Linked DNA regions of Canis lupus familiaris. The protein of the gene in region 3 purifies or fractionates together with the protein of the main gene of each other region. This does not show direct contact. Links are inferred from orthologs where the notes say so. Each region holds a gene or a part of one and is shown on either strand. Other genes may lie near its edges.

Evidence for each region. The genes of interacting proteins can lie anywhere in the genome.
Region 1: the proteins of ATXN7L3 (region 3) and TAF9 purify together in Homo sapiens (affinity purification with mass spectrometry; 6 studies listed by BioGRID and IntAct, counting the BioPlex papers as one, with this or other methods). This does not show direct contact. The link is inferred for Canis lupus familiaris from reciprocal best matches to the Homo sapiens genes ATXN7L3 and TAF9.
Region 2: the proteins of ATXN7L3 (region 3) and ATXN7L2 purify together in Homo sapiens (affinity purification with mass spectrometry; 5 studies listed by BioGRID and IntAct, counting the BioPlex papers as one, with this or other methods). This does not show direct contact. The link is inferred for Canis lupus familiaris from reciprocal best matches to the Homo sapiens genes ATXN7L3 and ATXN7L2.

What each region holds. Positions count from the first base shown.
Region 1 is NC_049257.1:19,523,889-19,526,875, forward strand, and holds TAF9 (transcription initiation factor TFIID subunit 9), read right to left. Parts: upstream 1,566-2,987; 5' UTR 1,438-1,565; coding exon 640-1,437; 3' UTR 501-639; downstream 1-500. UniProt on the Homo sapiens protein: The TFIID basal transcription factor complex plays a major role in the initiation of RNA polymerase II (Pol II)-dependent transcription.
Region 2 is NC_049227.1:42,829,321-42,833,523, forward strand, and holds the start of ATXN7L2 (ataxin-7-like protein 2), read right to left. Parts: upstream 2,801-4,203; 5' UTR 2,771-2,800; coding exon 2,644-2,770; intron 2,480-2,643; exon of another isoform or gene 1,654-2,479; intron 1,476-1,653; exon of another isoform or gene 693-1,475; coding exon 627-692; exon of another isoform or gene 255-626; coding exon 150-254; exon of another isoform or gene 138-149; intron 1-137.
Region 3 is NC_049230.1:19,072,517-19,076,555, reverse strand, and holds the start of ATXN7L3 (ataxin-7-like protein 3), read right to left. Parts: upstream 2,801-4,039; 5' UTR 2,615-2,800; intron 2,128-2,614; exon of another isoform or gene 1,676-2,127; intron 1,252-1,675; 5' UTR 1,192-1,251; coding exon 1,141-1,191; intron 848-1,140; coding exon 715-847; intron 510-714; coding exon 338-509; intron 159-337; coding exon 61-158; intron 1-60. UniProt on the Homo sapiens protein: Component of the transcription regulatory histone acetylation (HAT) complex SAGA, a multiprotein complex that activates transcription by remodeling chromatin and mediating histone acetylation and deubiquitination.

The sequences.
Region 1 (2,987 bases), on a different chromosome or scaffold from region 3:
TGTGGAATGCTTTGCTGCTTTGTTTTCCCAACTAGACTCATTAGCAGTGCCAGGTGGTAATAACTATCCAACTGATTCCTACTAGTAAAATAAAATCTGCCTAAGATCACTATGGACTCTTTCCCCCATTCTCTGCTTCATTTCTGACCTGATACGCTTTTGGAAAATAATTATGCATGGCAGGAAGTTGCCATACAACAGAGAAGGATTGTTGCATCCTGGGATTATATAGGATTTCAGATCAAATACTTTTTATTGTGAGAATAAATTGAAAAACATGGTTTTCATCAGTATAGCACAGTCAAATCTATTTCTTGCTTTTCTTCTTTCCTGTTCATTTCATCATTAAAGACTCAACAAAAGAAATTTTTATTAATTTAAGAGAATGTTTGCACTGGTGTTTTTTGTTTTTTTTTTTGATGAACAACAATTTTATTTTTCACACTTAAAGGCTAATGAATAACCATTACTAATCCTATTAAAGAAAACCCAACATTCAATAGGAAAGGATAACTATATTTACTCATTAAATACCATTTAAGTTTTCTACAACACAACTTCAAAATACCCAGCATGCACGTTTAATCTCAGTACAATGGATTTAAGACCAAGTTTACAGGTTACAGCATCAAGGCTAGATTACAAATTATCATAGTCATCATCGTCATCATCATCGTCATCATCATCATCTTCTCGTTTTCTTTTCAATGCATTTGATGATTCATTGGAAGTATTTTGTGATGACACCATGTTTGTAGTGATAAGAATGTTTTTGGACCCAATTAATGATGGATTAATCAGAACATTCTGAACTGCGGATGTGGCAGGAATTGATGCTTTTACAGTTGGGGACTGTGATGTGGGCATCTGTACTGTAAACCTCTGCCCTGTGAGGGACATGGGAGTCCCTACTTTAGTTGACACTGACATGGTTTGTGGGGTTGGTGTACCAAGAGTGGGAGTACTTGGTCGGCTAGTAACAGAACCAACACTTAACCGTGGAACTGTTATTCTTCCCGCAGAAGTTGATGCCTTTTTTTGTAAAGACTTAAGTCTATAGTTTGGAGCCGTCAAGCAATATCTATCAGGTGGCAGCCTGGGGCCTGAATATGGCTTGATTAACGGCAAAGGAGTTTGATTTCTTTGCCTTGCAATATCCAATAAAAAATCTCTTGGGGGAGGAGAGGTAAAAGACTGATCAGCACGACACTGAATGGCAAGCCGCACATCGTCTGCATCAACAGTAGCCTTCTTAGCATGGCTTGAATAAATTTTTGCATCATCTAGGATTGTGGTCACATATCGGAACGCAAACTCCAACATCTGATTTATAACTCTTGGTTCATATTCTGTAATCCCCATATCCTTCAGGATTTGTGCCATCATCTGTGCATCTTTCGGCATGCTCTTGGGAGAAGCCATCTTGCCAGACTCCATGATATCTGTTGATCAGACTTCTTGAGCTAAATCACCCACATTAATGTATTTCAATCCTGATCTCGATGCAAGTTCTTTGCCTAGTGTGGTTTTTCCAACCCCCGGGGTACCGGTGAGCAGGATGTTCGGGAGCAACATTGCACTGGTGTTTAGCATTCAGTAACATAATGTAGATTCTAGAAACAAAACTAGCCCCAGGATCTGTTCAAGTAAGCTGGAATAAAGGAGTGTATCTTTTAAAGTTGTCTTTTTTTTCACCCATTATACATTGTTACTCAACAGGTAGAAATATGAAGCAGTAAAACAGTATTTAGTAAGCCATTCTCTTATCTAGGAGGCTTTTTTAGTCAGTTAAATTTTGTTTCTGCTTCATTTTTATTAAAAAGAGTAAGGTAACAAAGGGACATAAATGAGGATATGTTTTTAAAAGTAACCGCCTGCCACCTTCCAAAGAAGATAGCCAAATTCCTAGACCTGTGCTATTCCATACAGTAGCCACTAAGCCACACTTGGCTACTGAGCACTGGAAATGTGCCTAGTTCAAATGGAGATGTGAGGGACACCTGGGTGGCTCAGAGGCTGAGCATCTGCCTTTGTCTCAGGGCATGATCCCTGGTTCCAGGATTGAATCCTGCATCTGGCTCCTTGTGGGGAGTCTGCGTCTCTGCCTCTCTGTGTCTCTCATGAATAAATACAATCTCAAAACAAAACAAAACAAAAACAAACCAGAAACAAAAACAAATGGAGATGTAAAGTGTAAAACACATGTTAGATTTCAGAAACTGAATGTGAATAAAGAAGAAAAAAAACCTTAGCAATAATTTTTAAATATATAGTTTGAAAAGATATATTTTGGATATATTGAGTTCAATAAAATATATTATTAAAATTAATTTCACTTATTACTTTTTTAAAGACTTATTTGAGAGAGAAAGAGAGAGAGCACGCGAGTGTGCAAGGGGAGAGGCAGAAGGAGAGGCAGAGAGAAACCCAAGCAGACTTGGTGCTCAGCACAGAACCCGAGGTGAGGTTCAATTTCATGTCTCTGAGATCATGACCTGAGCTGAAATCAAGAGTCAGATAGATGCTTAACGGACTACACCACCCACACTCCCCTGTTTATTACTTTTTTAAAAAATGTGTCTACTAGAAGATTTTAAATTACCTAATGAGTTGTATGATATTTTTATTGGACAACACTGTCCTAGGCTGTTATTTTGGGACATCATTACTCCTGAGAACCGACCATGAATAACAGTAAGATCTTCAATCATAGAGTTAAAACTTAATTCAAAGCTTTTTGAAAAGCAACTTGGAGATACATATTAAGAGACTTACATGTATCTTAACTCTCTTGGGCAGGAATTTATATTTCTGTGACCTATATTTCTGTGATGTAGCCCTATGATCTAGCAATTCCATTCCTAGGTATATACACTAAAGAATGAAAGCATAGGTACACGCAGAAATGTGTACACAAATGCTTATAGCAGCATTACTCACAGTAGCTCAAAGTGGAAACAACTCAATTGCCCATTAACTAAAGGAAT
Region 2 (4,203 bases), on a different chromosome or scaffold from region 3:
ATCCTCTGAAGCCACCCCCAGGACCTTCTGACCCCCCCCCCCAAGGCCTCCCCGCGCTACCCACATGACCTCCCAACTGACCCTTTCCTCAGAGGCCCATGTTCCACCTTCCCCTGTCCCCTCTGTCTCCTCCCTAGGGCTCGCCTCACCGCAGTGCTTCTGGAAAGCTTGAGGCTTCACCACTTGGCTGCAGTGGTTACACACAACCAAATAGAAGTCGTCATGGGCAGGGCAGTGCCCGAAGATGGACATGTCTGCAATGAAGAAGCCCTCATCACTGGGGCTGGGGATCCCAGGGGTTTCCCTGTAAGGTCAGACAGCACTCCCACCCACCCCGCGCAGAAGACACCTCCCCCTCCCAGCTGACATGACAAGCTTTATGCTGCATGCTCTCAGCTTCTAGAGATTCATCTAAGAAGGAGCTGTTGGGTGAGTGAGCCCAATCACCTATGATTAGGATCTCCCACAACAGGTCACAGGCGGTAGGTGAATGGGCTGACTCAGATCTAGCAAAGTGAGGCTCCCCAGGCCTGCTGCTTCAAGCAGCTACCTCCTGGGATATGCTGGAAGAGAGGAAGGTGGTCCTGTCTGCCCTAGGCCCCAGCCTAATGTGTGTCAACTCCCACCTTCTTTAATGAGGGTCATGGCATCCAACTTCTTCGTGTTTTTGTTACTCTCCTCCAACTCAGCCCCTAGAGGAGAAACACAGCTCAGAAGGAACACCTCCACCCCAGAAGCCCCATCTCCTACCCAAGCGGCAGCGGCCTGGCAGCAGAGCAGCAGGAGCCCACAGTCCCTAACACGCTTCTGGTGCTCAGGATCTGGTGCTCAGGACCGCTTACAGTGCCTTTCAGCAGGTCATTCTCAAGTGCCCATTCTTCCTTCACCTGCTACCTCTGGAATGGCCTGACCCCATTAGGAAGGATCCTGTCACCTTTCTTATGGACCCTTCACTCCAAGGTGCGATTCCCAGCTCCACTGCAAACTACTGGGCGATTGTGAATAAATATGATCTCTTTTCTGGGCCCGCTTCCCCATTTAAATGGGAAACGATCCTTAACATATTTTACTACAAATCTCTAAGTCCCTTCTTTGGAGATTTCTCTGATGCGTCCTTTCTGCTACTCTGTGCCGTGCCAAACAGGTACCCTCCCAGGTCCCCATCCCCATGAATGCTATTCTGTTCCACCTGGGTTACCCTGGTACTGACAAAGTTACACCCAGCTTCTGAGGTCCTGTGCTGACAGGATGGTCACAGAGCATCCTGAGAAGAGAAACTGCTGTCTGGCTGGGGGGGTCCTCTGGCATCCTCAAAGTCCCTTTGGTCACCTATGCAAGCCCCTCCCCTCCTTAGGAGGGCTCTGGGCAAGGGTTGCCCTTCTACCTCAGTTTCTGGGTTGATGACAAAAACATCTTAGCTGTGCAAAGCAGCTCTTTCCCCCATCCCCCTACCTTACTCCTCTCCCCTCCCTCCTCTATGCCCCCTCCCTGTCCCTTGGAAAAAAAATCAATTCTGAGTCACCAAACCCGTCTGATTCCATTTCCGGTTCTCAAAGCACCCAGACCCTGACAATGGCCCCATCCTTGCCCACCCAGCATGGGGCAGTCCTGGGGTGGCCTGGGCTTCCACTGAGATGTGCTTCTAACACCTACCAACAGATTTGCCCCTTTCTAGGATGAGAAGTTTCACTGACAGTCTTACATAATCTCTGTATACGAGGGGTAGTGGGTTAGGCAGGCAAGAGACAAGGGGCAGCTCCCACTCTTAAGTCCCTTAAAATGCAGTGATGGGCAGAGCTGAGCTGGGAGTCGGATGTCTCAGAGGAGAACAAGTGTCATCAGAGACGGCTCCATGCGGTCTCCTCCTCCACCTCTTCTCACTTGCAAACTTCTTCAGGGCTGTGATGCCTGCTGTCACCCCAAAGGCCACGAGGCCAGGTGCCCCCTGGGGCCCAGGAGACAAAGATCAGCAGAAGGGGCTGTCAGCCAGCTTACCAAAGGCACTCGGGGGCCTAGAGAAGGTGGGTGTCAGGGGAGAGAGCCAAGAGGCAGGGCAAGAGGCCCGGGAGAGGACTGAGGGTTGGAGGCACAGAGGGATGGATGGACGAAAGGAGGGAGGAAGGGAGGATGGATAGATGGATGGACCGACGAACTAAAGCGGAGGGGGCGGGGGTCCAGTAGCACTGCAACCCGCAGGCCCAAACGCCGTAACGGAGCAGGAGGTGCGGGGCAGAAGGCGAAGGAACAAGGGGGGTGGGAGGGGGGCACAGAAGTGGGGTGCGTGGGAAACACGTGGAGAGGGCTGTTGCGGACGGGGAAAGCCCTGGGCAGGTGCAGGAGGGGCGGAAGCTAGAGGACAGCAGGCGAAGAGAGAGATAAAGGCAAGCAGACGTGGGGGCAGGTGCCGGGCACCGGTAGAGGCAGAGGTGGGCAGGGTGGGCTGCGGGCGGTGGGCCGGCGCTAGGACCCGGAGGCGCGAAGGTGATGAGCGGGCGGGCACTAGGACCCGGCGGGTCCTTTGTTTGGGGGGCCGCGGAGCCGGACGGCGGCTGCCGTCGGCGGCTCCCCTCTGCCGGCGGGGGCCCGGAGGGGGGGAGGGGAGACGGTGATGGGGTCCCCGGACTCGAGGGGGGCTTCACTCACCGTCGGCCGCGGGCAGGTCGGCCCGTTCCACCCACGAGCTCCAGCTCTGTCCCGCGAAGTCATCGAGACTCGGCACCCGCCGCTCCAGAGCGGCCATTGCTGCCGCCGCGCGTTCACGCACCGCCATCACCGCCGCGGACGCGCGCCCGCCCCGGCGCCTCCGCCGCGCGGCCCCCGCCCCCCCGCCCCGCCGCGGGCACGCCTCCCCTCCCCCTCCCCCCGCCAGCTCACGCTCTGCGCAAGCGCGCCACGGCTCGTCGGCCCCTCGCGCTCCCTCTCGTACAGCCTTCTGGGAAGTGTAGTCTTGGGGGGGCGCTGTTGCCTACCGAGCTTGCAGCCAGAGCCCCTCCAAAATGCACAACTGCGGGGGGCGAAGAGACCGAAGGCCCGGGACCCCCTCTCTTAACCCTTGTGCACCCACTCTCTGTGCTACCAGCCCGCTCCCGCAAGCTCCCTGCACCCCCAGCCCCAGCCCTCTCTCTGCCCGAGAGCCCTTCTGAGCCGTGCCTCCGCCAGCTGGCTGGCGCCCCTTCCCGGGCTGGCGGTCAAGAAGCGACTTCGCTCCCCCGTAGATCGAATAGGGTAGGTGCAGGGAGGTGGGCGCTGTGAATCAGAAGGGCAAGGGGAGGGAGTCTGTTGGATGTGCTGAAGGACACAAGGGTTGGAGTGGGGGAGGGTCCTCGGCTCCCGTGTTGTGCCTCCTCTGTGGGCCACCCACGGTGCCCTGATGCAGTCTAGAGGGCTGGGGTGGCGTTGTCTGGGTTTGGGAGGACCTAGATGAGCTGATCAGGATCACCTGTCAGGATGACAGAAGGCTGTCTCCGAGCCAGAGCCGGCCCCGAGGCTGCTGGTCTTTGCAGCATCTCTGCTGATCCTTCTCTCCTCCTGAGAACTGCGATCGATACCCTGTACCGCCTCTTCCCAAACCCTGGCTGGACCCTGACTCCATCCATCACTTTGGCTTCCTTTTTCTAATGAATATTTTCTCTGCTGGAAGGGCTGCTACCAGAGCCTAGGCATAGGGAGATTTCTCATCAGATCTGTCATTTTCCTTACTAAGGCCTGGAAAATACCTTAATCATCCTCTTTCTTCTTTTCAGCTGATAACATTTCTTCCCACCCTCCCACAACCAAGAGACAAAGCCTGTCCCCCCCTATCACATCAGAAAAGAGATACTAGTCCTCTTTTCCCTCTTCAACCCTCACAGCTCACCCCAGATTCATTCCTTCAGCTAAAGGAAACCAAATTGGAGGCAAGTAAGTCAAGGTCTGTGACTTCAAGAACTCAGACTTTCTTTTCACTTTCACCCAGGGAATGTTTAAGTACTAGGAAGATAATCTCTGAGGGCAGAGATTCTTAACCCGAGAGCCACAGATTGTGGGGGGGGGGGGGGTGTCCAGGAACTTGTTGAAATTGAATTTAACATTGTGTCCAAATGTGTTTTTTCTAGGGAATGTAAGGGTAGCCTGTAAGAAGGGCAAGGGATATAGAGGTGCAAGTTTGTTCAGAAAGAACCTTCATAGTTAAAAGGGCAAGGCATATGGCCCTCACCTCCTGAC
Region 3 (4,039 bases):
TCACCCTGATGGGCTGCATCCCCCTGTCCCCCCAGCCAGTTTCCCCAAATCCCCAAACACCTTTCTTCTCTGAGCCATAGGACCAGTCGTTGTCATTGATGTCATCATTATCCTCTTGGTCACTCTCTGACTTGTTCATATTGTTGCTATTGGCAATCCTACCAACGGAAGGGAAGAGAAAGGGTCAAGACAGCCACCTCTCTCTGCCCCCAACCACAGAGGCCAAGCACGAGCCACCCTCTGTGCCCCACCAATGCCCCTGGGGGACTACACCATGCCACAAGTTACAAGAGGTGGGACCAGCATCTCTGGTTCTAGCGGAGAGAGACGCCCTCACCGGCGGTTGGCGATGCGGCTGCTGTTCCGGCCCATTCCCAGGCACTTCTCCAGATGGGGAGCGAAGCGAGAGGCAGCAATACTACGGCTGCAATTGGGGCAGACACACTCCTTGCTCTTCCACTGGTTGAAAACCTGTCCAAAGATGTCCAACCCCGGCTGGTCCACGATCTCTGGGGACAGGAGAGGCGTGGCGATCAGGGCAGGCAGGGGACCCTCACCTCTTGTCTCCCGCCCATGGCCCCATGGCCTCTTGAAACCCCCTGCCTGGGCTCACAGGAGCCCCAGGTACTACGTCTGGTGCAGTTTCCAGAGGAGGAACTTGCAAGTATCCCCGGGACAGGGGCCGGATGGCTCTCCTTCAACCCTGAAGCTCACCAAAATCCTTCATGCTATCAGGGTCCGTGTCGTCCAGGAAGAAGTAGCCACACTTGACAGCCCGGTGTACCTCAAAGCAGAATCCCAAACAAGAATCCTCGACCAGGTCCGCGTATATCTCCTGAGCGATGGCCTGGGCCCAGGGGAGAACATCCACGGTCAGGAGTCTTGGCCCCCTGGACTGAGAGCAACTCTCACCAACCAAATCTGCCAACTCGCCCTGGCCAAAAATAATGCTTTCTTTGCCATTTTCCCCATCTTGACTTCGCATCCTTTCTTCTTCCGGAGCCTTGGGCCTTTTCAGCTGGCTATTCCCTTTAAGGAACCAGGCTGACTACCCAAATTCCTCTTTGGTGTGAACGCCAGATATAGCGACGTAGAGACATCAAGAGAAAGAACTAGAGGCACACGTGGGGGAGCCCTCACCTCTAGTTTGCTGTTATCCAGGCCAGACAAAGACATTTCCTCCATTTTCATTTGTAAACTCTTGTGGAGACGGCGCTCTGACTGCTCATAGCACAGCGGGCGGCAACACGGCTGCACACATGGGGGTGGGGGGGATGTTGGTGTGAGTCCAAGACACCTCTGGAGACTGCCACCTCCCCTCTGCACCCCACTGCCCAGAGCTTAATGCTGGCATCAGGATCTACCCTTCCCCAAGGCCTAGGCTCACTAAGTCTGGATGGTCCTTCAGGGCCTGAAACCCAAAGGCGGCCTAGTCCTTCCCAGGACTGAACTCAGGCCCTGGACTCTGCTACCAGTCCAAGTCTGAGTCCATAGGAGGCAGCAGCTCACCCCAGGTCCCCCAAACTCAAACCCCTCTTCCATACCCATGGTGCAATGCAGCAGGGGGAGGAGAAGGAACTCTAAGGCCTCAAAGCAAACCCACAGGGTGTGGCAAAGAACTGCACAGACTCCTAAATACCCCCCCCCCCCTTCCCTAGGCTCTCCTCAGAGTCACCTCTGCTTTCAGCCAGGATGTCCACTTGGGGGGGTACTGCTACCAGAAGTAGGAACAGCCCTAGAGCCCTACAACCTTCACCCCACTGTGTCTTCCCTTGAAATAAGCCTGTGACTACAGAAGGGGCACAGAGCCCACAGAAGCCTAGAGCTGAAGGAGCATTTCTAGCCATCATGAGCAGGAAGGAGGGGTAGAGCCCGGTGGGGATGGCATGCCGGGAGTGGGCACTCCCCTTACCTGTTCTTCTTTTTAGATAACCACCCTCCCTCCCTCAGGACCAGCCCGGAAGTCTCTCCAAGAGCCCCAAAGTCCAGGAATCCCCACCAAAGGATTCTGAAACAGCGCCCACAGTCCGGGGCCCCTCTTAACGGTGGGTACGAGTTTAAGGAGCTGCCGGCCTAGAGTGGGGTGGGGACTGACAAATGAGCCAGGGGCACCGGGGAGGGTAGGAGGCCGGGCCTCGGCTCTTCCCCCGTCCCTGCGGCACTGCTGCTGCATCATACCGACTGGGGGGAGGAGAGCCGAGCCGCCCGAGGCCGGCGCCGGTCCGGGACAGACCGACCCCTAGAGAGTGGGCAGAGTGGGACGCGTCCCGGCCCCTCTCCTTCCCCCCCGCCGACAGCCCCAGCCGGCCGGGGAGAGGAGTCCGGGAGGGTGTCTCTATTGTCCCGGGGGCTGGGGCCTGGCTCCCTAACAAAGGCCCCGCGCCCCCTCCCCGGCCGGCCCTGCCCCGCCCAGGGGGGACCCAGACAGGGGGAGAGCTGGGGGCCCCGGCCGGGCCGGGAAGCCGGGGGAAGCCGGGCGTTTCCGCGTCGGCCCGGGGGGAGGGGAAGGGGCGCTGACCCAGACCTGGGGGGAGGGGGCCCAAGCCCCGCCTCGGGCCCCGCCCCCCGCCCCCCGCAGGCCCCTCCCCCGTCCCCGTCTCCGTCCCGTACTCACCCCGCCCGGGGGGCCGCGCCGGGGCCCGGCGGCCTCTCAGGGCCGCGTCCTCCGGCGGCGGCGGCGGCGGCGGCTGCTCCGGAGCCCCATGTCCGTCGGTCCGTCCTCGCCTCTCCCCGGGGCCCAGGGCCCGGGGCCGGGGGGTCGGGCCGCCCCCCCGCCTCGCCGCCTCACCGGGCGGCCATGGCCCCTTCCCCTCCCTTCTCGTCCCGTCGCCGCCTCCTCCTCCTCACCTCACCCCGCCCGCGCGCAGTCCGCGCGCCGTCCGCGCGCCCCTCCCCCCGCCCCCCACTCCAGCCCGCCTCTCCCGGGCGGGGGGTGCGGCGCGAGCCCGGAGCGCGCGCGCGTGCCGCGACCGGAGGATGGATGGATGGAGCGAGCGAGAACGCGAGCGTGCGCGCGCGCGCCCCTCTCCCCCTCCCTCCGCGCGGGCGCGAGGCCAAGCGCGAGCGCGCTCCAACCTCCTCCTCTTCCTCCTCCCGCCCCTCTTCAACACCCCGCCCCCGCCCTCCCTTCCTCTTCCTTCTTTCGCTTTCGCGCGCCCAGCGACTGCTCGCGCCTGCTAGAAGGGCCCGAGCGCGTGCATCTGCCCCGCGGCCGCAGCTCGGCAGCATTTGCTCCAGGGGGCGGGGACCGGGCGGGGAGGAGGGGCGCCACGCCGCCGTCCAAAGTACCGGCGGACGGGGACGGGGGCGGGGAGATGGGCGGGGCCTTCGGCGGGCACCTCGGCCAATCGCCGTCTCGCCTCGGTCCGGCCGGCCCAATAGGATGGTGGTGGGTGGAGCGCCGTTCAAGGTGAGGTGCGCGGTGCGCTGGGGGCGGAGACGTTGTGCCGTCCCGGCCGGCTCCGGGGCGGGGGCAGCGGGTGGCGTCGAAAGAGAGCGCCGGCTCCAGCCGAGCCTGGGACGCCTTCCGGCCCAGGATCCCCCGCCCTTCCCTCGGGGCTCCCGGCTCTTCCCCCACACACACACCTCCTCCCGCCCCCCGGCGCCCCAACGCCGGCATTTACCCCGTAGCGTGCAGCCACTTCTCGGAAGAGGCCGGAGTTGAAGTGGGGCTCTGTTAGCACCTCAAGGCAGAAAATCTATGGAGCCAGAGGGGCTCGTCCCAGCCTCCGATCCCCTGTTTCTGGGCGGGTCTCAGCCCACTGCAGGCCTGCGAGCCAACGAACGCCCGAGATGAGGGTCCTCCGCTGAGGGCGGAGGCCGAGCTCTGTCCTTCTGAGCCGAGCGCCCTCCCCGCCCTCAGCCTAATTTAGATCCCACACCTGCTCGGCTTTCCTGCTTCCGGAACCCACGCTGGACCCCCCACCTCTCGGACAGCCTGCCTGGCCCCGGCCAGACCCTCCGACCCCGCGCTACTCCCCGGGGTAGTACTTCCCCGTGGTCGCGCGCCCTCCGAGTTCCCCTTTGCCTTCTGGAGGAA